4 linked regions of the Caenorhabditis elegans genome follow. The protein of the gene in region 4 purifies or fractionates together with the protein of the main gene of each other region. This does not show direct contact. Each region holds a gene or a part of one and is shown on either strand. Other genes may lie near its edges. The genes, in order: eef-1B.2, csq-1, ssb-1 and nxf-1.

Region 1 (4,615 bases), on a different chromosome or scaffold from region 4:
TTATTCGGAAATTTGAATTCTCGATGCTTAAAGTATGATATGTCGGCCAGTGCTGCCAAGAATGGAGGTGTCGACATCGAGGATACTCTGGAATCCTGGGAAACTGCTTCATCATGCTTTCTGATCCTTTGCCTTCTCCTTAGAATCAATAAAATCCGAACTACGGCGGTTTTGACGTCGGCTATTAAAGAGGGAAAACAATTTCTGATTACTGTTTCTAAAAAGAGCTCATTCATATTTTTAATGGATAATATTACGAAGGGAACCAATTTCGATACGATTTGTAGAAGAGTTGAGAAGATTTTATCGGCTGTTCAACAGGGAAATCGTGTCTTGCAGAGTATTGGAACTTTTGCAAAGGTTCTTTTTTTTGCGATGGAAAATTCCACGTTCTCAGGATTTGGATTTTCAGAGGAAAATGGATTTTTTTTTTCAGTGTTTCGGGGCAAAAAACAAAAAAACAGGCTTCTTAATTTTTGGATTTTTTAAAGAGAAATTTGATTTTTTTTTGGTCCGAAATTGAAATAAAAATTCTTTTTTTTTTAATTTGTGATGGCGAAAAATAACAAAAATTGAAATTTGTAGAAAAAAATCTTCAAAAACAAAAAAAAATTCGAATTTCGATTTTTTTAAAATGAACTTTTCAGAATATGAAACCCATTAAAAACCACATTTTGCTTTAAAAATTTTTTTTTGTAAAATACGAGAAGTGAGTTTTTGTCCAAAAACCAAGAAAAAAAATTAATTTTGAACCAGAACAGACCGGAAAAAAAAACCATTTTGGACCGAAAAACAATTTTTGCAAAAAATAACCATAAAAATTCATTTTTTACCCAAAAAACCTAAAAAAAACCAAAAATATCCCTTTTTACCCAAAAAAATTAATTTTTCCCAAACCAAATCCAAAAAAAAATTAATTTTTGGTTTAAAAAACCAGAAATACAATAAAAATCCAAATTAAAAAAAAAAAAAACCAAAAAATCCTTAAAAATCAATTTTTGACCAAAAAACTAGAAAAAAAACCTTTAGAAAAAGGAAGAAATAATCTTTTTTTGCCCAAAACAAATCCAAAAAAAAAATCATTTTTTGATTAAAAAAAACCAGAAATCCAAGAAAAAAATCCAATTTTGGCCAAAAAACCCATTTTTAGCCACAAAACCCCCACAAAAAAACCATTTTGCAATTATGCTCAAAAAAACTTTTAAAAAAACCAAGAAAAAATTATTTTTGTCCAAAAAAAATCCAATTTTGTCCGAAAAAAACAGTTTTTTATCAAAAAAAAATCCATTTTTGGCTAAAAAAAACCCAAAAAATTTTATTTTTGCCCGAAAAAATCGAAAAAATTTTCCAGATCCTGAAAACGTGTTACCTCCACTGCAATTTTTTTCTCAAAAAAAAACAAAAAATCTCAATTTTCAGACGAACAAATGCGTGCTTCTTCTCAAAAAATTCCCGGAACTCCGTGCAGAAAGTGAGAATTGCCTTCGAGTAATTCATTCGGCAATGGTGAAAAATGAATGTTTGAATGCATTCACTGTTGGACTCGTCAAAAGTCGAAGTATTGATGGAGATATTATTATGGATCAGCGTGCCAGTGAAATTGACTCGGATTCCGAATGAAATTTTAAAATATTTTAATTTTTCGCGTTTTTAAACGGGTTTTCTCTGTATTTTTAACTTTATTTTATTTTTTCCAAGTAAATTTGTTGTTTTTCGTTCAGAAATTGCATTTAGAAGCTGAGAAACCATGGAAAATCATTAAATCATGATTTAAATCACGATAAAAATAGATTTCGCTTCAAATTTTGAACTTCCCTCCATTAAACTTTAAAGGCGCATGGAGATTCACAGCGCATGGGTCTCGCCGCGCCGTGTTGCATGTGAAGAAATTTTGGGTAATTTTTGCAGTTTTCTAGTATTTCTAGCGCTGTTGTTCGGTTTTTTATTTGTTTTGACGCTCGGAAAATTTATTTATAACTTTATTTAATGTGCCAGCATAGTTTATTATTCAATTTTCAGGTAAAACAATGTCTGTCGAGGGTCTTCTCTCTGAGGTCAAGCACTTCAACGCTCATCATTTGGATGCTGCTCTTGGAGAACAATTGTTCTATGGAGGGAAGCGTGTCTTCTCCGACGTTAAGCCAGGAACTTCTTCTGGTGGTGACCACGGTATTTATTATTATTTTTTATATAAAATGTTTAATATTCAAGTCTTTTAGGATGCAAGGGAGGAAAGAGCGAGCTCAAGGGAGCTATCCACAATGCCAAGCATGCCGCTGATAAGGCTTTGAACAAAGAAGGTAAATTTGGCATTTTCTGAAAGCTAATTTAACGCATTTCTGTTTCAGGAGGAGAGGACGTCTCCAAGCTTCGCGAAGAGCACTCTGCTCTTGCCAAGAAGGTCGACGACTTGGCCAGTCTTGTCGCTGAGCTTCAACTTCAACTCTCGACTCTTCGCCAAGGACAGGTAAATCATCGTCGTCACGTTTTGATTCTTGGCGACGGAAATCTCTCGTTTTCCCTTGCCATTGCGTCGTCAGATCCGGAAACTGTATACTTTGCAACTGTTTTTGATTCGAAAGAACAGTTTTTGAAAAAATACAACGCTCATGACACGTTAAACGCTCTAGACGCTTTGAGCAATGTGATCCTATGTTTTGGAGTTGACGCGACAGATCTGCCGGTTCGCTGGAGCAACATCTTTAACACGGTTATCATGAATTTTCCACACCCTGGCGGTAAAACCAATCTGAGAAAGAGTAAAATTTTGCTCTCCGGAATTTTTGCTTCCCTCAGAAGTATTATGGATAGCCAAGCAGTATTTCTTCTCAGTCTTGCCATTGGACAGTCTGGGCTCGAGAAGGTCTCTGATCCGTGGATGAACGAGCTCCCAAGTCACAAAAAAGATTCCTGGCAGGCAATCTATCTGGGCGCCGAGAATGGCTTCATTCTCGACAGTCTGGAGAGGTTCGATACTGATAGATTCGCATCTTATAGATCTTCCGGTTATAAAGAGACTAAAAAAGGGTTCAATAATCGTGAAGGATTGACATTTTCCTTCAAAAAGTGTGATAATCAGCAGAAGTCTCTGCGCGATTTTCAATTGGCTGAGCCTCCGAGGAGTGGAAAGTTCAAGTTCAACTACTATAGGCCCTTCTACGCCCAGGATCTGTCGATTTTGTTCAAAATCGGTGAGAGCGAAGGAGAGAAGCTCGCCGTGGAGCTCGTAAAATCGATCGCTGGAAATTGTTTAGCTGCGATTTCTGAGATTGAATATCTTCGATCCATCTGCCCAGATCCGCCACTCCCAAATAGGATCTACAGAATTATATGGCACGGCCTCGAGCTTCCGATGGGACGTGAAATGTGCTCCAGAATCCATGAAGAGCTAAGAAATCGGATTGCTGAGGAGATTGTCGCCAATAATCTTCCACTGGTGCTCACCTGAAAGATCTGCTCGTCTTCTGTTAATTTATTTGTTGTATGTTATTGTTATGAAAAAATAATCGTTGAAAAAGTTGCGAAGTTATAGTTTCCGAGGTCCAAAAGCCTTAATTTTATATTTTCCATTTTCTAATACTAATTTTTTGTTTTCAGACCAGCTCCGTCGCTGCTCCAGCTGCCGCACCAGCCGCTGCTAAAGAGGAAGCTGCCGGAGACGACGACTTCGATCTTTTCGGATCCGAAGACGAGGAAGAGGACGAGGAGAAGAAGAAGGTCGTTGAAGAGCGCCTTGCTGCCTACGCCGCAAAGAAGGCCACAAAGGCCGGCCCAATCGCCAAGTCCTCGGTCATCCTTGACGTAAAGCCATGGGATGACGAGACTGATCTCGGAGAGATGGAGAAGCTCGTCAGATCCATCGAGATGGACGGACTTGTCTGGGGAGGTGCCAAGCTGATCCCAATCGGATACGGAATCAAGAAACTCCAGATCATCACCGTCATCGAGGATCTCAAGGTTTCGGTCGATGATCTCATCGAGAAGATCACCGGAGACTTCGAGGATCACGTCCAATCCGTCGATATTGTTGCCTTCAACAAGATCTAAAGGCCTAATCAGTTGTTCTTATATCCATTATTTCTATCTATTGTATTTCAACCTTGTGAATAATTGGTTTATTCGGTGTTTTTCTCCATTTATAGACAATATTAAATGTTTTCATCGGTTAAATAAACGTTCATTAGGTGCAAATTGCGTCAGTTCTTCGTTGAATAAATTTAATTTCCTCCGGTTTGTGAACTCTGGTGCAGTACTGAATATTAAAATCACAGAATTCAACTCAAAAAATATAAATTTAGAGCAAAAATGCTGCTCAAATGGAACACAAAATCGATTCCGCCGTGAGTTTTTCCCCATTTCCCGCCAAAAAAATTCAAATGCACGAAAAACACGCCAAGCGCACGAGAAACGCGTCAGCAACGGTTACAAGTTTCGCGCAAAGCGTCATTTTTCGCGTGATTCAATTTCACAAAGAAATTTCGCGTTTTCAGCCGTTTTTCATCATTTTTTTGCGAGAAAAATGTGAAAATAATTTCCTGTTACATGGGAAATATGATTTTGCGTTGAAATTTCGTTGAAAAATCGATAAAATTCGCGGAAATCTCATTTTATTGTC
Region 2 (6,846 bases), on a different chromosome or scaffold from region 4:
AAAAGATTTTTGAAAAAACTGGAATACTTTCGCTTTTGGTCTGTAATTTGTATATCTTATAGAGAAAAGTTTGGAGATTTTATCAATTGTCATCTTTTCATTATGATGTTTTAAAAAATTACGGTATTAAGGTTGTATCAGTTCAATCACGATAAATGAAGTGCCGATCAATTTGCAACAAGCTCTAGAGAACGTCAACACAGAGCAAAGCTGCTCTGCGACCGTAAACTTTTGTGCAGGTGCGATTTCCTGCAAAAAATCAGTTCACCCTTTTTTTTTATGTTACAGGCATCGATTGTGGAAACGGAAAGTGCACGAATAATGCCCTATCACCAAAAGGCTACATGTGCCAATGCGATTCTCATTTTTCAGGAGAGCATTGTGATGAAAGTGCGTTTTTTTGTAGGAAGTATTTGCAAGTTAAAATGTTTTATTCCAGAAAGAATCAAATGTGACAAGCAAAAGTTCAGAAGGCATCATATAGAAAATGAGTGTAGATCGGTTGACAGAATCAAGATAGCAGAGTGTAATGGTTACTGTGGAGGCGAACAGGTAAATCGAAATCTTCATGTTATTCTGATTCTCAAATAAAGCTGTTATTTTCTTTCAGAATTGTTGCACTGCTGTGAAGAAAAAGCAGAGAAAAGTGAAAATGATATGCAAAAATGGAACAACGTATGTTAGAGAATTCCTAGCTCAAACAAATACTTATTTTTCCAGAAAAATCTCCACTGTTCACATTATTCGTCAGTGCCAATGTGAACCTACAAAAAGTGTTCTCTCTGAAAAGTGACAACTTTAAAGTGAAAACAATTATCCCTTGAACTCCTAGATCCTCGATTTTTGACATGTCATATTCCAATTGTAATATTATGTTGTTACTTGTGGGGTTGCTTGAATAGTCACTTCAACCATACCTAGGCATAAAAATAAGGCCAGTTTTCAATTTTCAAGAAATGAACAACTTTTTGGAGTACACAGCAATTTCACAAGGACCACTATATTTTATCAATTTACGATTCGAATTTTTATATTTTATTTTTCAATTTCCAAATCCAGATTCTCAACGATACCACATAAAACGTTTGCTTTACCAGATTCTTCCTTGCCACGTCAATTCACTAATTCCACAAACGAAATGCAAATCCCATAATACTACCCCGATCGCTGATTTACTGATCAATCCTTGAAAAATCAAGTTTTTGTGTGGTGTGTTGGCTTGAGTGATCGCAGACGCAAATAAATTCGGATAAATGTGCCCCCCTACCAAGCGGGTAGAGGGTGATATGTTTGCCGATTTATTGAGCAAGATGAGGAGTAGGGCGAATGGCAGTATTAGTTAGCGGTACCGATTGATTTCATTTCGCAAATTTCTACGTCGAAGATGAAAAATTATTTCGAGCAGTGACGTCAGTCGGTTGGTTATGATGAAGACTGCCGTTTGGTTTTTGAAAGCCGAATGCTATAGATATTCTTTGCCAGATGTGTGGGCAGATGAGGAACACTTTTTTTTTGCGAAAAGTTGATTTAAAAACAAATGTTTCGGTGCAAAAAAATGTTGGCACCGAAATATGAGCTGTTACTTGGAAATCATGTTACCTTTGTTCTGTTCTGTTAATTCCCTCTAATTTGAAGATATCCTTCAGTATAACAATTTTTCCGTGTTCGAATTATAATTGAAACATATTTTTAAAACAATTTTATTCCGAAATTTAGAGACACTTCGAAACTAAATATTTAATCCAGAACTCAGTTAATTAATTTACAGTAGCTGAACCCCGAAAAGTTGTAACTCAAACACTTATGTTTCTTTACTATTGTTACACTATTTTCGATCCTCAATAACATTTTAAAGTGGTAATTCCTAAGCCTAAATATGAGAATAAAGTGTTTTTGGTGGTAAACTTTTGATGGATTCTATGTAACGCCCTAAACGGATTTACTGTGGTTCGACGCGAGTCTCAGTGAATGTCGGCTGCGCGATTTTATTAAGTGTATTTAAATTTTCAAAGTAGACAGTGTGAGGAATGATATCATGTTTCATGTGTTTTTCTCCTATGCAAACATCTACTTGAATGCTTGTACGGTTATTTTCAAGTTGCCAGCTATGAAAAAAGTTGGAAAGTTGCATGTTCCCCTCACGTTATTGATTTATTAGAGATATGAACTCTTCCAATTGCCCCCACAAACACTGTTGCCTCACCTCCAATCTCGCCCACACTCCTTCAGCTTCTTCATCTTCTTTCACGTAGTTTTTGTTTTCATCTCGACAAATATATAGTGTAAAGTCAATCAGTCACCGGAGGAAAAGGCGCCTCAGGAGCTTCCTGCTGTGCTCGTTTCGCTACCTCGGTATCAAGCTTATTCTCAGCTCCCCCCTTTACAACGAAAGCTGGCGGGGCCCCGCGGATGGCAGTGGAATTGTGTAAGAATAGCGATCAAAGAGAAGAACATCAGTGCCAATGCAGCAGCCGCCAACAGCTAGCGCGGACCTTTTCCACACACTATACCCTTTGACTTTTCTATCCTTGTTTCGTGTCACTTTTTTGTCTTCTTTTTTTGAAAAGATCTCCATGCACATCCTTCCTTCCTTTTATCTCTCGCTTTTTTCTACAGCAAAAAATAAGTTGCGTTGTCTTTAGAATGACTTGGATCAAACTTGCTAGCCTTGCGCTAGTGGTTGTGCTTGCAAGTGCAGGCATCTCCAAAAACGAAGACTTGGAATGCATGTTCTTAGGATATCCAGATCTCGAATACGACGGATTCGACAGAACTGAGGTGAGTTATTTGGATATAGGATTTATAATGTCTATTTTGTCCATTCTGCAAATCTTTTCTGAAAATCTGCAAAACTACCGATTTTGTTTTTTTTTTTACAAATCAAAAATGAATGTACATAGAAATAAATGAGAATTTTGTCAATTTTGTCAATTTTAGTTGGCAAGAGTTGGCGAGAATTGCCAGTGAACTTTCAGGCTTTTTTTCTTTTTCCTTCTTAGGCTTTTTTTCCGTTCAAATTTGCCAATAAAAATATTATTTTAGAGTCAATCAACTTTTTAGAATCCAAAATTACCAAAATACCAAAACTGAACAAGTTTCTAGATTTTTCAACAATTTATCCACTAACTAGAAGGTATAGTTAATAGTTATTTGGTTAGAAGCGATTTTTTTAAAAAATTTTTTTGAAACATTATTCATTAGTATTATCGAAAAAATACGATCGCACACATTTCTCATAATTTACTTTTGATCTACCTGTTGTCTCCGCCCCCAATCTTGTCGCCGTTGTTATTTTGTTGTGGCTGTCTTGTCGAAGGAAGGGGAGGAGCCTCGTCAACAAGGTAGATCAAAAATAAATTATGAGAAAATTGTGCGATCGTATTTTTCGATAATATTTGAGTTTAAAATTATCAATAATTAAATAAAAACAACTTCTAAGCAGACTATAGATTCCTATAGTTAGTTCCTATAGTTCAAAACTAAAAAATTTTGAGAACAATTGTTCTCGACTATCTTGATCATCATTTTTCATTTAATTCTTTAACTTAAATTACTCAATAACAAGACATTAATTTAACTTCACAATGTCAGTAAACAATTGCGTCATTCTAGCAAAACTTGACCTATAACAAAATTTTCGACATCCGGGGTTTTCGAACCAACCTATCATATTACACTGCAACAGATATTCATCTTCACTCAACAAAAAAAAATCAATAATTGCAGGTTCTGACCGAGAAGAACTTCAACAGAACTGTTTTCGCTGAAGACACCAAATCGGTAGTGTTCTTCAACGACGTGGAAGAGGACGACTCAGAGCTTGACCAGTATGAGTGCTTCCTTCAGGTGAAATTCAAAATTTGATAGTTTATTTTTAATTTATGAATTTTAGTTGTCTGCTCAAATTATGACCAAGAGAGGATACAACTTTTACACTGTCAACACCACCAAAGAACATCGCTTGAGGAAGCAGGAAGGTAAACATTTGCTGTTCCACAAAAACTTAAAAAATATTCCATATTTTTGTGTCATGTTTTCAAAAAATTCAATATTTGTATTACATGGTTATAATTATTGAAACGTACGTATTGCTAAAAATTAATTGTTCTATGCCAAAAGTAAAAATAGAAATATGATGTTTTACCTCATATTTTTCCATTTCTTGAAAGTTGGTACATATCTTTTTTGGCAAGATTGTACATTTCTTTTTCGTAAGTTGGTGCATATCTCATTTATATGTACCCACATTGTAATGCTACGAAATTTTGAAATGTCCGTTTAAAGTCATGAATTGATTTTTTAAAGTGGGTCTCGTCACGATCTCATTCATAGTGGCTGCTACAGGTGTCAAATTTTACTTTTTTTGTTAATTTGATTTATAAAATATTTTTATAAAAGTTCAGAATTTGAAATTCACGGAAAATTTAACATTTAGCACGTAGTGTGACGTTTCCGAGAATGGACCATAATCGAATATTATTTTTACCAATTAATCATTTTATGTTGTCGAAGCTTCACAAAACTTGTGGAAACTTAATTTAAATAAAAAAACATTTAAGAATTGGTTAACCTTCTAATTCTTCATTAATTCTTGATTCAAAATTTCAGAAGTTGAAAAGGGAGAGGACACTATTCACGTGTACAAGGATGGTTACAAGATCGAGTACAATGGTGTTCGTGATCCAGAAACTTTTGTTTCATGGCTGATGGATGTACGTTATTTATTAAGTTTTTGCTAATTCCATAAATTATTTTTCAATTTAAGATCCCAGACGATCCAGTGACTATTATCAATGATGAACATGACTTGGAAGAGTTTGAAAATATGGATGACGAATGTGTCAGAATTATTGGATACTTTGAGCCAGGATCAGTTGGTACGGAATGTGAACAAGCTGTCATGCATAAATTTTAAAAGAATTTCAGCTCTCAAGGAGTTCGAGGAAGCCGCTGAAGACTTTATGGGAGAGATCGAATTCTTCGCAGTTGTGACATCTAAAGTAAGTGTTGAGAGCATTTTTTTTCAAAAATGTATTATGAAAAAGTATAATAGATGTTGATTTTTCATTTTTGAATTATTATATGTACCCCAATTTTCACGCTTAAATATCAAATATGGTACTTGAAAAAAAATAACTTAAAATCGATATTCTTTAATAAATGTATTTTTAGTGGGCACGCAAAGTCGGACTAAAGAGAGTCGGAGAGGTCCAAATGCGCAGACCATTTGAGGAAGATCCACTTTTCGCCCCAACTTCCGCTGATACCGAGGAAGAATTCGAAGACTGGGTTGAGAAGAACAAGGAGCCAGTTATGCAAAAACTCACCCTTGACAATTACTTCAACCTTTGGGTATGTAAAGTTTATATCCTTGCTAGAAAAAAATAATCGTGCTCCAGAGAGATCCCGAAGAGGAGGAGAGAATGATCTTGGCATTCGTTGACGAGGAAACCCGTGAGGGAAGAGCCATGAAGAGGCTCCTTGACAAGATCGCCGATGAGAACTCCGAGCACGCTGGAACCCTGGAAATCATTCTTGTCGACCCTGATGAGTTCCCACTTATGGTTGATGTGTGGGAGGATATGTTCGGAATCGATATTGAGGAAGGACCTCAAATCGGACTTATTGATATTTCTGAGGTAGCAGACTCTATTTTATTTGTCAATTAATAGAATGTATATTTCAGAAAGAAGGAATCTGGTTCGATATGTCTCAAGTGAATTTGGATGATCCAAAGAAACACTCCGACTCCAACTTCGAGGCTCTCCAATCATGGATCGATCAGATTCTTTCCGGATCTATTTCTCTTGATGGTGAATAACTTTTTCAACTAAAAATCTATAAAAAATAATTTCAGATGATGATGATGATGAGCCAGAGCCACCAGCACCACCACCAACTCCAAAGGGAAAGAAGTCTAGAAAGGAGCTGTAAAAAAATCACGTTTTTGATCTACCTATTCTTATTTTTCACGTATTGTTATCACACCTTAAACACTTCTTTTCATGACATTTTAATGGTTGCCGCTTGGTAGTTTCTTCTAGTTAGACACAATGTTTTCGTTCAAAATAAACTTTTTTGGAATTTCAATACGGCATTGTTTTATGCTACAAGTGACCCTAATATATAATAAAGAACAAATGAAATAATTAAATGTTTGTTGTAAAAAGCGTTCAACTCTGCAGTGATTTAGGATGTTTTGCCTCGGATGCCAAGGATCTATATATTTTTGGTTTTAGCATCGTATTTAGTAAAATTTTTTATTGTTTTGTAATATGCCCACACATATATATATATATGTATATATATGAATTTCCGGAAATTTTATCTTGTAGGTCACATGTCTAGTTGCTCATTGCAAAACGTTTTTTCCTGTCCAAGCTCATAATTTTCAAAACTCCATCGTCCAAAATTCTCCACTACTTTTTTCAATATTGTTCCACAAAAACCAGTCAGATGATTGACAGTCCTCATTTTCATTGAGTTTTTGTTCTGACCTTAGACATACATACATACACACATTGCACTCAGAAAATAGCAAAAATGCCCGTTTTAAATGCAATGAGAACCAGAAACAGTGAGGGTGAGTGTCAGCAAACTACGTTGCGAAGCAAAGGCAATACGATAATTACCATTGTGTATGTATTGGTATGTCTTTCTTTCAAATTTCCGTTAGATGAAAACAATTATGGGCTACCTTGAGACAAAAAGGCAACACATGGAACTGTGGAGTACTTGGTGAAGTTGAGTTGGAAATTGCAAGACAGTTTGTCACCAATGAAAAATGTGTAACAATTTTATGTGAAAGCCTTCCATTTTTGTTTAATATCATATCTAGCTGACTGG
Region 3 (5,006 bases), on a different chromosome or scaffold from region 4:
TGTGTACGTCAAGATAAATACAATATACAAAGTGCCCTTTCATCATTATTTTTCATGTTTCATTATTTTAAAATCTCTTAATTTTCAGGTTCAAACTTTCAACAAGCTCTTCTCATCGTCTTCAAAATGACCCTCTCGGTAAGCTTCAAATTCCGATGTAGAAAATCCAAAATAATCTCAAATTCAGAATAATGACAACAACAGAAAGCAATAATTGTAAAACCGTGATTTTTCAATGTTGGCAAATTCCCTTCAAAATAGCGGAGGGAACTTAGTCAAAATTGAAAAAGAGACATTTTTATAATTTGGCGATTTTTTTCTGAATTTGAGACTACTTTAGATTTTTTGAAGCAAAATGTTGATATTTTCCCAATAAAATCTCACTAAGTCTTTTCAATTTTCAGTTCGACGACGCTGCTGCCACCGTTAAGACCCTCAAGACTTCCCCATCGAATGATGAGCTTCTCAAGCTCTATGCTCTGTTCAAACAAGGAACCGTCGGCGACAACACCACCGATAAGCCAGGAATGTTCGATTTGAAGGGAAAAGCCAAGTGGTCTGCCTGGGATGAGAAGAAGGGACTCGCAAAGGATGATGCTCAGAAGGCCTATGTTGCTCTTGTTGAGGAGCTCATCGCCAAGTACGGAGCCTAAATAAATTCTGTTTGATAATACGTTTTTTTAACATTTATATTTTTGTAATGAAGATTCTGTGATTCCGAAGAATTTAGACATAAAGTTGCCTATTTGATCAGCAAACTTGAACTTTCAGAAGAATGCATTTTCCATGTTCCCTGTTCCGAGTGATCTGCAATTTCTTTTTTTCCGGTCTGCTACTCTAAAACTTTGGTTTATCCGAATAATTTATAAATCAAAACCGCAACTCTTTTAAATTGGTAATAATACAGTAAAAGAGATGTTAAAAAGAGTGAGAAGTCAACAAAATGAGGGTATTCAAGATTAATGAATGGGGGGACAACACAACAATAATGATAACAACAAAAAATGGAGGAAAAAGTAAAAAAAAAAGAATGAGATTTTTGGGTTTGTTCAACAAAAGATGAAATTACTCGGCGGCAGCAGCAGCTGGAGCACCATCCTCAGCGAACACAGTACGCTTAGCCTTTGGCTCATCAGATCCATCTGCACCTTCATCGTTTGCTGACCGCTTATCACCTCGGCGGTCTCCGCGTCCACCTCTTCCACCACGACCTCCACGACCACCGCGGCCTCCTCGTCCGCCACGACCACCGCGTCCTCCACGTCCACCTCCTTGCCTCTGATTCTTTCTGGCATTGAACTCTGTCCAGTATTTCTCCTCCTCTTCTCCATCCAAAACTCGTGCGGAGAGCTCAGCCTCTTGAAGAATGACTTTTCCATCAGTTCCAGCTGCAACAGCGTTGTCCCAGGCCTTCTGCGCTCCTTCGCTGTCATTGTTGAAGCGGATTTCGGCTGTTTTGCCTCCATTTTCATGTGCAACGTATCCAACAGATCCGTGCAATTTGAAGAAAGTCTTGATGCTGTCAATAGTTGAATCAGGTCCAAGTCCATCAACGGCCAGAATGAGACCTTTCTCGTAACGGACAGCGTGCTGAGCCTTTTCTGATTCAATCGCTTCAGAAGTATTCTTAGCTGATTTGGCAGCCTTGTTTGCAGCACGAGCTTCCTTGGTTTCTTTGTTCTTCAGAGTCCAATACTCATCTTGCATCATCTTGGTCAACTCTGTCTCTCCGAACTTAACTTCAGCCTTTTGTGCGGCTTCGGCCTCCTCTCTAGTTTTGTAAGTGATGAACACACTTCCTTTGAAGGTTCTGTCTCCTGGCTTCAAGCGACGCATAAGAACGTTCTCGGTTTCTCCGAATTGATTGGCCCATTGAATAATGTCGTCCAATTGGGTGTCAGTGCTGAATCCTTTCTGAAAAATGAGAAATTGATAATGTAAAGACAAAATCAGAAAGATACAAACGTACCATATACACAGTTCTGTGCTTGATTTTTTGCCAGTACTCCAACGAGTTCTCCGGTACTGGATTCTCTTCGTTTCTGCGGATTTTCTGGTTGTCTTCGGAGACGCTGATTATTCCCGAACCAGAGTTCTTGACAGCGTTGGCAATCTTTTCAGTGTCCTTGCTGATCGAGGCTAGGCGGTTGAAATTGAGCATCGTGGTAATTGGGACCCCTGAAATGAAAAATCAACAATCTTAGAATTGAAGAAAAACAACTTACATCCATCGTCTTCCTTGAGTTTTTCCTGGAGGAACTTGTCTCTTGGAAGATTGATGTTTCCGAAGTAATACTCCAATTGCTTAATGATCTTCTGATCAGCATCGTCGTGAACGGCGGCAGCGGTCTCACCCATTTTCTTGCTGAATAATACAAATTAACAGAGAATACAACAGAAACGAAAACGAAACAGAAGAAACAAGGCATGTAACATTTTGGAACAAATCTTACTTCAAACTTCGACTTTCAGTAATGCGAAAACTCATTTAACGTGTTTTCTAATTCCTGAAGTTGATTGCTCGATAATTAAACTGAACATAATCAAACTAGGTGAAATTAGGCCTAGAACGCCTAAAAACTAGGGAATTTGAGATTTTCTCGAAGTATATTTTCCAAAAGTTGATTATTTAAATATTAAATGTTAATTTTAATTTGATTTTCTTTTAAAAAATGTAAAAAAATAAAGGAATAACAGCGACCGATAAAAAGAAAATATAAAAAATGTGTGCAATGAGTTTGAAGTTTCGAAAATGATTTTTTGCAACCCTGGCACACACTTTATGCAAAAACGGCGCACGCAATTGATGCTCCGCCCACTTGTTATTTATTATTTTTGTTCGTTTTTTTGTTGTTCTTCTGTTTTTCCTCTGTTGAGATGGGAAATTTTGATGAATTTTCGATTAAAAATAATAATAAAATAACGAAAATTTCGAGAAACAAAAGTTTCAGCTGATAAAACTTTGTAAAACAAAGAAAACCTCTGTATTTCTTTTTTGTTTATTTATATTGCCTCGTGATTGCGAAAGTTAACGCAATACATCTTGCTTTGTTGAAATATTATATCGATTTTCTAATCAATTATTTCCAGAAAATACAAAATTAATTGAAATTTCGATTAATGGATCCGCGTGAAACGGCAATCGGACTTGTCCGATATGTCACCGAAAATGCGGCAAAGGATTTCGACGGAGAATCGATTGCAGCAATTATTTACAGACTACGGGTTGTTGAAAATTGTAAGGAATTCTAGAATGATTTTATTTACATGCTTTTTTGGGTGGAAAACACCAAAAAAATCCTTTTTTTTCCAACAAAAAAAACCCTGATCCGTTCTGAATCTATTATTTTTCCAGATGTAAGCAGCGATGTCGACATTATCTGCGAAGCAATGCGAATTTTAATCAAAAAACTTGTAAATCTACCTCCAATAACATTTTCTCCGGATGTTTGGATGCCTATAATGACATCTATAACCGAAGGTGCAATTGAACCACAATGGCGAATCATGATGGAATCAATCGATATTTCCAAGTTTTCTTCGACTTCTTCTAATTTTGTGCATATGGATTCCATTACTGCATCTTCTACAAAATGTTCCGAACAGATCACATCAATTTGCAAGGGATTCGCTCTTGAATTCGGATTGACTCGTCGACTTTTCTCAGCTATTTGGAACACTGATCTTGAAGAAACAGCGCGTAAAATGATGAATCAGGAGTGGGATTCTGTGAAAATCGATTCAAGCCCAGACTCGGCGAAACAAGCGGCTGGTCTTATTGAGAAGAGCATTTTTGATTTATTCTCCGAGATGAAGGATCATGAAACATTCGCGAACGAATTGTACTATGCAGCGTTGGCGAGAATTTTGAAGTATGGAAGTTTAAATTTTAAGAAAAAATTAAAAAAATTAATTAAAGCCCCCGAAAGTTTTCAACAATAATAAGTACATCAAGTTTTATTGATCTTGTTAGGTATTTGGTGGCAAAACCGAAAATTCAAACATTTCTGACTAGTTTCACCAATTTTCAAGCACTTTTTGTCTTTTTTTGTTTAGTTTTCCGTCGTTTTAATGAATTTTATGCCAAAGTTGATGAAATGAAATTCATAAACAAATTAAAAAATTCTTATTCACTTTTCAACTTCAAATGCATTCTTTTATTTTAAAAAACGAAGAAAAATGCTTGAAAATGGGCGAAACCAATCAAAAAAATGTTTGAAATTACGGTTTTACCTCAAAATCAGGTGCCGCCGAATTTGTTTTCGATTTTTCGTTTTTTTTTTGAACAAAACCGAAAAATCGAAAATTTTCATTTTTGGCAAAACCGAAAAAAAAAATCTGAAAACACTTCCAAATTGGTATTTCTTATTCAGAATCCAATATTTTTATTACAGTTTACGCACTTTTTCATACAAAAAAAACAGAAATTTCACTTTTTTGAGAAAATTTTTCAGTTTTTTCTTTTTTTCGAGAAAAATCGAAAAACTGGAAAACCGAAAAACCGGCAGGCCTGCTCCAAATACCTAACGAGACCCATGGTTCGAGGGCTGATCATTTTCAAAATAAATTGATTCAGATTCAAACAGTTCACTTAAAAAAATTCCAAAGTAATTCCAGACGCCTCCAAGAAAATAAAAAACCGGCAATTCAAGATTCAGAAGACATTTCATTTTACGAATCTTCACTTCACATCTACGACGAGCTAATCAAAAAGTTATGGCCACATTTATCGAAAAAAGATCCAAATGTCAAAAAGAATACTCTCATCATTTTTGAGAAATTAATTAGTCTATCACCAACTGATGTTCTTGTTCAAAGAATCACTGAAAAATTTATTGACTCTTGTGAATGGCTGAAAATCAGTGGAGAAGAGATTTGTACATCGATGGAACCGAGACTCTGGAAAATTGTTGGATCTCTGGTTTCAAGGATTTTGGATTTAAAAAAGACGATTCCATATGAAATTGGTAAGTTTTTTTTTTAAATTTCATAATTGTAATAGTTTT
Region 4 (6,848 bases):
TGAGGATTGATTTTTTAGCTAAAAAATAAAAAATAAATATTTGGGCTAAATTAAAAAATTTAGATGATTTCTGCAAAGGATGAGGAGGTCTCGCATGGATTGACACACCTTGCGACTACGGTAGCTGTAGATTTACGAAGTGATTTTCTTGTCTTCAAATCGACTTCAATTTTTCAAACTAAATGCTCACTTTTTAAGATTATGCGTGGACAAAATCGGCGAGGCTATCGGAATATCGAAGGACGGCTCAGCCTTTCATCCCATTCATCGCATTCTTCACCACGCCAGACACATGTCACAAACTTGAGGCCAGCTGAAATCAAGGTTGTCCAAGATGTCGTGGATGGGTGTTATGTTGCGACTGACGATGTTCTTAACCTGTCGAACTTTTCAAAAAACACAGAATTTGTCGAAAGGGACATGTTGATGTGCCTCACGAAGACAAGAGTGATGTCGGTAGTTCTACAGCATATTGGGTACAAATATCCTCGCATTTCCGGAATCTCATTCTCGGTTTAGATTAATTTGTGAAAAAATAATTAATTCCATGTAATTTTCAGAATAATCGGCTCTGTCACTTGGACCATCTCTCCTCTCTCTCGAGCATATCCAAGTTTCTAAAATTCCTCGACTTGAGTCATAATCAGGTTTTAAAAGTTTTTGTATTCTTAAATTTCATAACTTTTTTTTCTAAGATTTCGTCAGGAGAAGAATTGAAGAAGTTAGGAACGATTCCAGTAGAAACTGTGTTTTTCGAGGGAAATCCAGTCTGCGAGAAGTTTGTGCAATGTGCCGAGTATGCCAACTTTATTCAAAAGACATTCCCAAAATGTTCAAATTTGGTAATTCACGAATATCCTAACAATTATTTCAATTTCTATCTAAATTGTAGGATGGAATGGAAGTCGAACCAAAACCAGATCACAATAGAATCGAGCAGATAATTCCATTCAGGGTGATACAGTATATTTCTACATTCCCGAATCATCTAATTATTTTAGAATGGATACTATGGCAGTGATGAAGTTCGTACTCTTGTCGAAGAATTTATCATCACATATTACAAAATCTACGATGGCGCAGATGGACAGCAGACAAGGAAGCAACTTCTGGATGCGTACGACACAAATAACGTGCTGATTCTTGCATTTTTTCAGTAGTAAATATAAACATATATTTTTCAGTCAACATTCACGCATACAGTTGTCTGCTTGTGGGACCCAATTAAATTTGTCATGTATCCGGACAGGTACCGTCTGAAGTCTTAAGGTTTTAATAATTATTTATATTTCAAGTGAGAGCTATCGAATGTACCTGAGAACTTCGCACAATGTTCTGAATCAGGAATATTTTGCCGCAAATCGGGCCTCCAGAATATCACACGGTGCAATGGATATCGTAGTTGCACTTTCGAGACTTCCTGCCACAATTCATCTGATGGATACATTCGTAGTTGACGTGTTCCTTGTTTCGGCAACACTTCTCGGATTCACATTACATGGAACATTTCGTGACGGACCATCTGCGATAAAGCCCGAGAACACTGAGGAACATGATAATTATTTTACGAGAACATTCATGGTTGCTCCAAGAGGCGAAGGAAAAGTCGCCATTGTTTCCGATCAGCTGTTCATTAGCTCGATGTCAAAAAGACGCGGCGATCAGTACCGCATGCTAGTGGAGACAGCAACGGACATTGACCAGTGAAAATTATATATTTTCATACATTTAAACGGCATCCTATTTGTATTTTTATGTCTAGTTTCGGATCATATCTTGTTACCAACACCTAGCATGTTTTTTTTTGTCTCAACATTTTACAGTTATTTGTTAATCTTCATTTTTAAAAATTATTTGTATGGAACAATGTCTAATCGGTCTTTGTAGCTATCAATTTTCAAATTGACCTGATCAAAAGTGGCAGCACCAAACCAAGCAGCTGCGAATCCAATTGAAGCACTCGCTAGGTAGATCGCGATGATTCTTTTTCTGAAACAATTCCATTTTCAAGAGACTTTTCGTGGAAATACCTACCCCGGTTTCCTCAAACCGGGAAATACGGGAACACGGGAGAATGTGAATTCGGCTGAAGTTCCGATGTCTGGCAACATCTTCCGACGTTCAAAACGCGTCGGAATAGGCGCAATATTGTCAAGACGCGAATCAGGGGTGTACTTCTTCATATTCTTTTAGTTGTAAGAACAATGGAGAGAGACGGATGTTTTGGAAATTGTTGGCTGCGAAGATGGGAAAAGAGTGGTGAGCAAACAAAAATTACGGGGAACAAAACGTTTTCTCGTATTTTTACTGCTATCTATATAGCCACTGAATTTGCAGAAATATGTATATTTTGTTGACAGGTGACAGTGAAATATTGAAAATTTACTCATATATTACAGTAGTATCTTTTTGCGGTTACTGTAGTCGGCGAAATTGAAAATCACTGTTCAACGATTAATATTTTGCATGATCGATTTTTATCATGCCTCTTAAGTGTTACTATCATTCTAACCGAGAATTCACGTCATTTTCTGACTCGCATGAAACATGTTTGCCTAAAACATTTTTTATTCTTGTTTATGTCGTCAAATTGGGGGCTCGTCTGCATTTTTGCGTAACGGTGTTTGCACAACCGATAAAAGTCACGAGATTTTTTTTTGCATAAATATGATTCAGTTTCACCAATTTTCGAATTGCCGTTCTTTGCTTAGTGTTCCAAATGTGAAATTATAGTTTTAAAATCTGATTCATTGAGTTTTCTGATTTCCGCAAAACTAAATTATCTCCCGGCTGGAATGAGGCAGCCGTCCCAGTTTCGCAACACTTTCGAAATGAGTAAAAATTTAACTTTTCCTTGTCTATTATAACTTTTCATGTTCAATATTGCTTTCTCTTGAATATCATATTTATTTGTGTTTCACCTACACCTTTAATTTAATTTTTCGATACCAGTTTTCCCTCGATGAAATACAAATCTTTCAGATATGAATCGCAAAGGGTTTGGAGGGCATCGTGACGCGAAGCAATTGTCACGTACAAAGAATCGTTTTGCTCGACTTGACCCAGACACTCAAAGCAGATATGAAGACGACGACGAGCCTGCCGTTCCAGGTAACGCTTAGATTTATTCATATCCTTGCCAACTTATTTTTGTTTCAGTTCGTGCAAGCCTTACTTCTGCCAGTAGCCGTGGTCGTGGAGGATCATCACGCGGTTTCGGACAATCGGCTGCATCCATCGCCAACACTGGAGTTCGTAATGCTGACATCGTCTACAAGTGCCGTGCTACTGGAGCTGCCAAGAAAGTTGATGCCAAGTGGCTGATCAAGCAGCTTAATCAAATAATCGAAAATTTCAAGCCACTTCTCTGGACTGATAACGCCCGTGGAGACTTTGAATGGTACGTCCGCGACGAGGACACTGCTTCAACTATCCGAGCCAATAATCGTCGTGTTGTCCACAAAGAAAGTGGCACACGCGTTGAGTTTTACACTTCCAAAGTTCCAGCCCCATGGATGAAACTGAAACGAGAGGAAATTGAGATCATTCATGTAAGCCTCAAAATTTATTTGTCAGGTAATCATTACAAACATTTTTCAGAGAGTAGTCGACAAACGTCACAACGCCGAGAATCGAGTATTGGATTTATCAAACTTCCACGAAGACGAAGAGTTCAAGGCAAAGGATATGATGATGAATTTGACGAAAGGAAATGTCATGCTCACAGTTCTCGATCACATTGATGATAAGTACGGAAACATTGTGGCTTTGTCGTTATCAGTGAGTCATGCTCTTAATATTCTCTATAAAAGTAATTTTTATCATTTCAGAACAATCGCATCCGTCATTTGGACTACGCTTCAGCTCTCGTGTCAATCGCTAAGTTCGTTATGGAGTTGGATTTGAGTCACAACCACGTTAGTTCAATAGATCTAGCTATTTTTTATTCAACTTTTGATTTACAGATTTCCACTGAAAAGGAGTTAGAGAAATTCGCCGGATTGCCAGTCGAAAGATTCTTCTTTGAAGGAAACCCAGTCGTCGAGTCATTCACACAGAGGGCAGCATATATCAGGTTACATTATCTGAATGATTTTCAGATTTTTTATTTAAATTTCATTGTGTTTTCCTCCTTGTTCCCTATTTTATTATGTTCATTAACCCCAAACCTACCACTTCAGCTATATTCATCAATCATTCCCGCGATGCAACATGCTGGTAAGTTATTTAACATTGAGCCAAGTTCGCATCTCGGAATGAAACTACTTTCAGGACGGAGTCGAAGTGCAGCCGCTGGTTGTTGGACCGGATCTCGATATTCATGACGCAATGCCATTCAGAGTAAGTTCCTGCGGATTTAAATCTCCCTAGAACCTTCGTTATTCTAATATTTTTAGGCTGGATATTACCCAAATCCACAGATCCGAGTTCTTGTCGAGCAATTTGTGACTTCATACTTTGATTTCTACGATGGACCGGATGGCCAGAGAACTAGAAGAAATCTCCACAATGCGTACGACGCTGATGCTTCAACATTCTCGTTGACAATCGAACATTTGCGTGGATCTTCTCATGCACGACACCACAATGAGTAAGGATATTTTAAAATGCACAATATTATTATATTTATTGATTTTCAGCGAGTGCTTTGCACAATACGCTGGTGTATCACACAACGTGCTGAAACAGGAGCGATTCGCTCGTCATAGAGCTTCTCGTTCAGCGCGTGGAGCCATGGATATTGCAGTTGCTCTCTCAAAACTGCCAACATCTAGCCATATGAGGGACACATTTATTGTCGACGTTTTTCTCCAATCAAATGATCTTCTCGGATTCACAGTTCAAGGACTATTCTGCGATGGTGATCTTACACAGACCCCTTCACCCAGTTTCTTCAGCAGATCATTTTTGGTGTCTCCGAGAGAGAATGAGTGGGTTACACTTTTGTATCTCAAACTTATACTCATGATTTTCGTATTTTCAGCTCAGTTGCAGTAATCTCTGATCAGCTTTTTATCACAGTTGCCTCGTTGGATCGATTAGAAAAGTTCAAGAAGCTGTACGATCAATCTATTGCAAATGGTGCGGCCGTGGAACAAGTTAGCGCCGTTCAAATTGCACAAATCGGAGTTAACGGAATGGGATTCGACGGAGCACCTGCACTACCGATTCGTGAGGAAATGATCAAAGCGATGTGCCAGTTCAGTGGAATGATTCCACCATTCAGTGAGAAATGTCTTGCAGACTGCGCTTGGAACTTTGACGTATGTTAATCATTTCTCAAAGCATTTGTTAAAATTGAAGCAATTTCAGTTCGCCTGTCAGAAGTTCAACGAAATAAAATCATCAGTTCCAGCAGAAGCGTTTGCTCATTAAATACTGTTCTATCGACATCTTCAGTATGCTTAGTTCTTCCTGATTTACTCTTTTTTTATCGATCTTTCGTTCAATTTTCTTCTGTTCGCCCTTTTTAGTTTTTAATATTTTTCTGCAATTTTTCATCCCTTCCCCTCTTTCGAACTAGCTCCTCCAGGTATTTCTACAATTCGCTTTAACGTTAACCTTTCTAAAATTAGGCCTCACAAATCTCAATTGGTTCGAGTTTCTTTCAACATGTTAATAGTCACTGGTGAATCGTATAGTGCTGTAAACGGAACTGCCAATGGTATTTAAATTTTTCATTAGTTAGAATTAGTTAACACGTCGAATGTCGCTCCCACTTCCATCTTTCACCGTCACTGAGCTTTTCACACTCTTTAACACTTCCTCCTAATTCAAAAAAGGAGTTCGCCGAAGTGTGTGTCCTGCAGAAGCTCTTTGGCACCATTTGGAGTGACGTTGGGCGTGTGTTCGTAGTTGAATTAAACTAAATTTAATATCTGTTGGCAGTCTCCATAACAGTTGCTATCTTCACTGACTTTTCTCTTTTTCGGAGGTCAATTAAAAAAAAAAAAAAACTAGGGATCTATGAGCGAATCGTCGGAAAACTTGCAAAAATTATCATTATTATTCTTTATTGTATTTTCAGAAAATGCATTATCAATTATTCTACACCTCTCGATGTGTTTATTGACCCGTATTTTGTCCCACTCCATTCCTCCTTAGTTTTGCAATAACTTGCAAATCTTCTTTGTTTTGGGAGCAGCCAATCGCTCTCTACACTTGAACAAGAATCGAATCCCCTGGCATCTGAAAATTAATCATATTGGTTTTCTAACTATTCATTCTCTAATTCTTCGTTTTTTCAATTTGCCCTGTCATCATTATCCCTCTATTTTATCTTATATTTCAAAAATTTGTCGTCTCATTCTTTTCTTTTTTTTATCAAATAAAATTATATAACCCAAAACCGAACCTTCCATAAATGAATGGATTAATGACACTGTTTAGAACCACCAATGAATTCAGAATATAGTTGGAATCCAGATTCTCACGATACGAATCCCAATGAAGAACCATCCACCAGGAGAGCAAATTGTATGGAAGCCAAGTGACAGCGTACGTCAAAATGAGCAAAAGTGTGATTCGGAGGCTCCGAACTTTTGCTCGACGAAACTTTTCCTGTCCACGAACTGTTCGAGTAGTTAGGGTGACTAAAAATAAATAATTTATTAAAAATTATGAGATGTGATTCTTCTTACCAAAACTCTCTTGATCCTTCTTGTGAAGAGCAGCTTTTCCTCCAGTCTTTGATGAGCTCATTTCAGAAAGATATGCAGCTGAAGAGCATTCGGTGTCCGTATTCAGAGTCTTGTAAATATCCTTGAAATATTTAATTACTTTACATTTTTCCTATCAAATAATAAACTCACTTTCAGAATTAGAACATAACAAGCAACGAGAATCAT

What was found.
Region 1: the proteins of nxf-1 (region 4) and eef-1B.2 purify together in Caenorhabditis elegans (affinity purification with mass spectrometry, with the first as the bait; one study listed by BioGRID). This does not show direct contact.
Region 2: the proteins of nxf-1 (region 4) and csq-1 purify together in Caenorhabditis elegans (affinity purification with mass spectrometry, with the first as the bait; one study listed by BioGRID). This does not show direct contact.
Region 3: the proteins of nxf-1 (region 4) and ssb-1 purify together in Caenorhabditis elegans (affinity purification with mass spectrometry, with the first as the bait; one study listed by BioGRID). This does not show direct contact.

The regions. Positions count from the first base shown.
Region 1 is NC_003282.8:15,035,322-15,039,936, forward strand, and holds eef-1B.2 (putative elongation factor 1-beta/1-delta 2), read left to right. Parts: upstream 1-2,009; 5' UTR 2,010-2,027; coding exon 2,028-2,169; intron 2,170-2,219; coding exon 2,220-2,300; intron 2,301-2,348; coding exon 2,349-3,448; 3' UTR 3,449-3,517; downstream 3,518-4,615. Other genes in the region: fcd-2 (FANCD2), read left to right, coding at 1-360, 1,420-1,620. UniProt on the Caenorhabditis elegans protein: EF-1-beta and EF-1-delta stimulate the exchange of GDP bound to EF-1-alpha to GTP.
Region 2 is NC_003284.9:14,682,235-14,689,080, forward strand, and holds csq-1 (Calsequestrin), read left to right. Parts: upstream 1-2,642; 5' UTR 2,643-2,643; coding exon 2,644-2,778; intron 2,779-3,726; coding exon 3,727-3,846; intron 3,847-3,892; coding exon 3,893-3,977; intron 3,978-4,608; coding exon 4,609-4,712; intron 4,713-4,765; coding exon 4,766-4,877; intron 4,878-4,926; coding exon 4,927-5,000; intron 5,001-5,172; coding exon 5,173-5,352; intron 5,353-5,399; coding exon 5,400-5,639; intron 5,640-5,686; coding exon 5,687-5,813; intron 5,814-5,857; coding exon 5,858-5,934; 3' UTR 5,935-6,088; downstream 6,089-6,846. Other genes in the region: slt-1 (Slit homolog 1 protein), read left to right, coding at 132-239, 289-390, 440-552, 611-675, 721-793.
Region 3 is NC_003279.8:4,631,462-4,636,467, reverse strand, and holds ssb-1 (Lupus La protein), read right to left. Parts: upstream 2,366-5,006; 5' UTR 2,359-2,365; coding exon 2,226-2,358; intron 2,179-2,225; coding exon 1,970-2,178; intron 1,915-1,969; coding exon 1,066-1,914; 3' UTR 853-1,065; downstream 1-852. Other genes in the region: acbp-1 (Acyl-CoA-binding protein homolog 1), read left to right, coding at 127-138, 405-653; ubr-4 (UBR-type domain-containing protein), read left to right, coding at 3,121-3,238, 3,356-3,872, 4,609-4,967.
Region 4 is NC_003283.11:14,411,149-14,417,996, reverse strand, and holds nxf-1 (Nuclear RNA export factor 1), read left to right. Parts: upstream 1-2,982; 5' UTR 2,983-2,984; coding exon 2,985-3,111; intron 3,112-3,159; coding exon 3,160-3,551; intron 3,552-3,600; coding exon 3,601-3,780; intron 3,781-3,830; coding exon 3,831-3,917; intron 3,918-3,965; coding exon 3,966-4,075; intron 4,076-4,181; coding exon 4,182-4,218; intron 4,219-4,272; coding exon 4,273-4,341; intron 4,342-4,397; coding exon 4,398-4,591; intron 4,592-4,640; coding exon 4,641-4,931; intron 4,932-4,984; coding exon 4,985-5,264; intron 5,265-5,313; coding exon 5,314-5,376; 3' UTR 5,377-6,101; coding exon of another isoform or gene 6,102-6,189; 3' UTR 6,190-6,348; downstream 6,349-6,848. Other genes in the region: nxf-2 (Nuclear RNA export factor 2), read left to right, coding at 202-513, 561-647, 696-842, 893-955, 1,002-1,133, 1,185-1,249, 1,296-1,707; C15H11.11 (Cytochrome b-c1 complex subunit 10), read right to left, coding at 1,851-1,989, 2,035-2,183; gnrr-2 (G-protein coupled receptors family 1 profile domain-containing protein), read right to left, coding at 6,102-6,189, 6,356-6,593, 6,642-6,762, 6,813-6,848.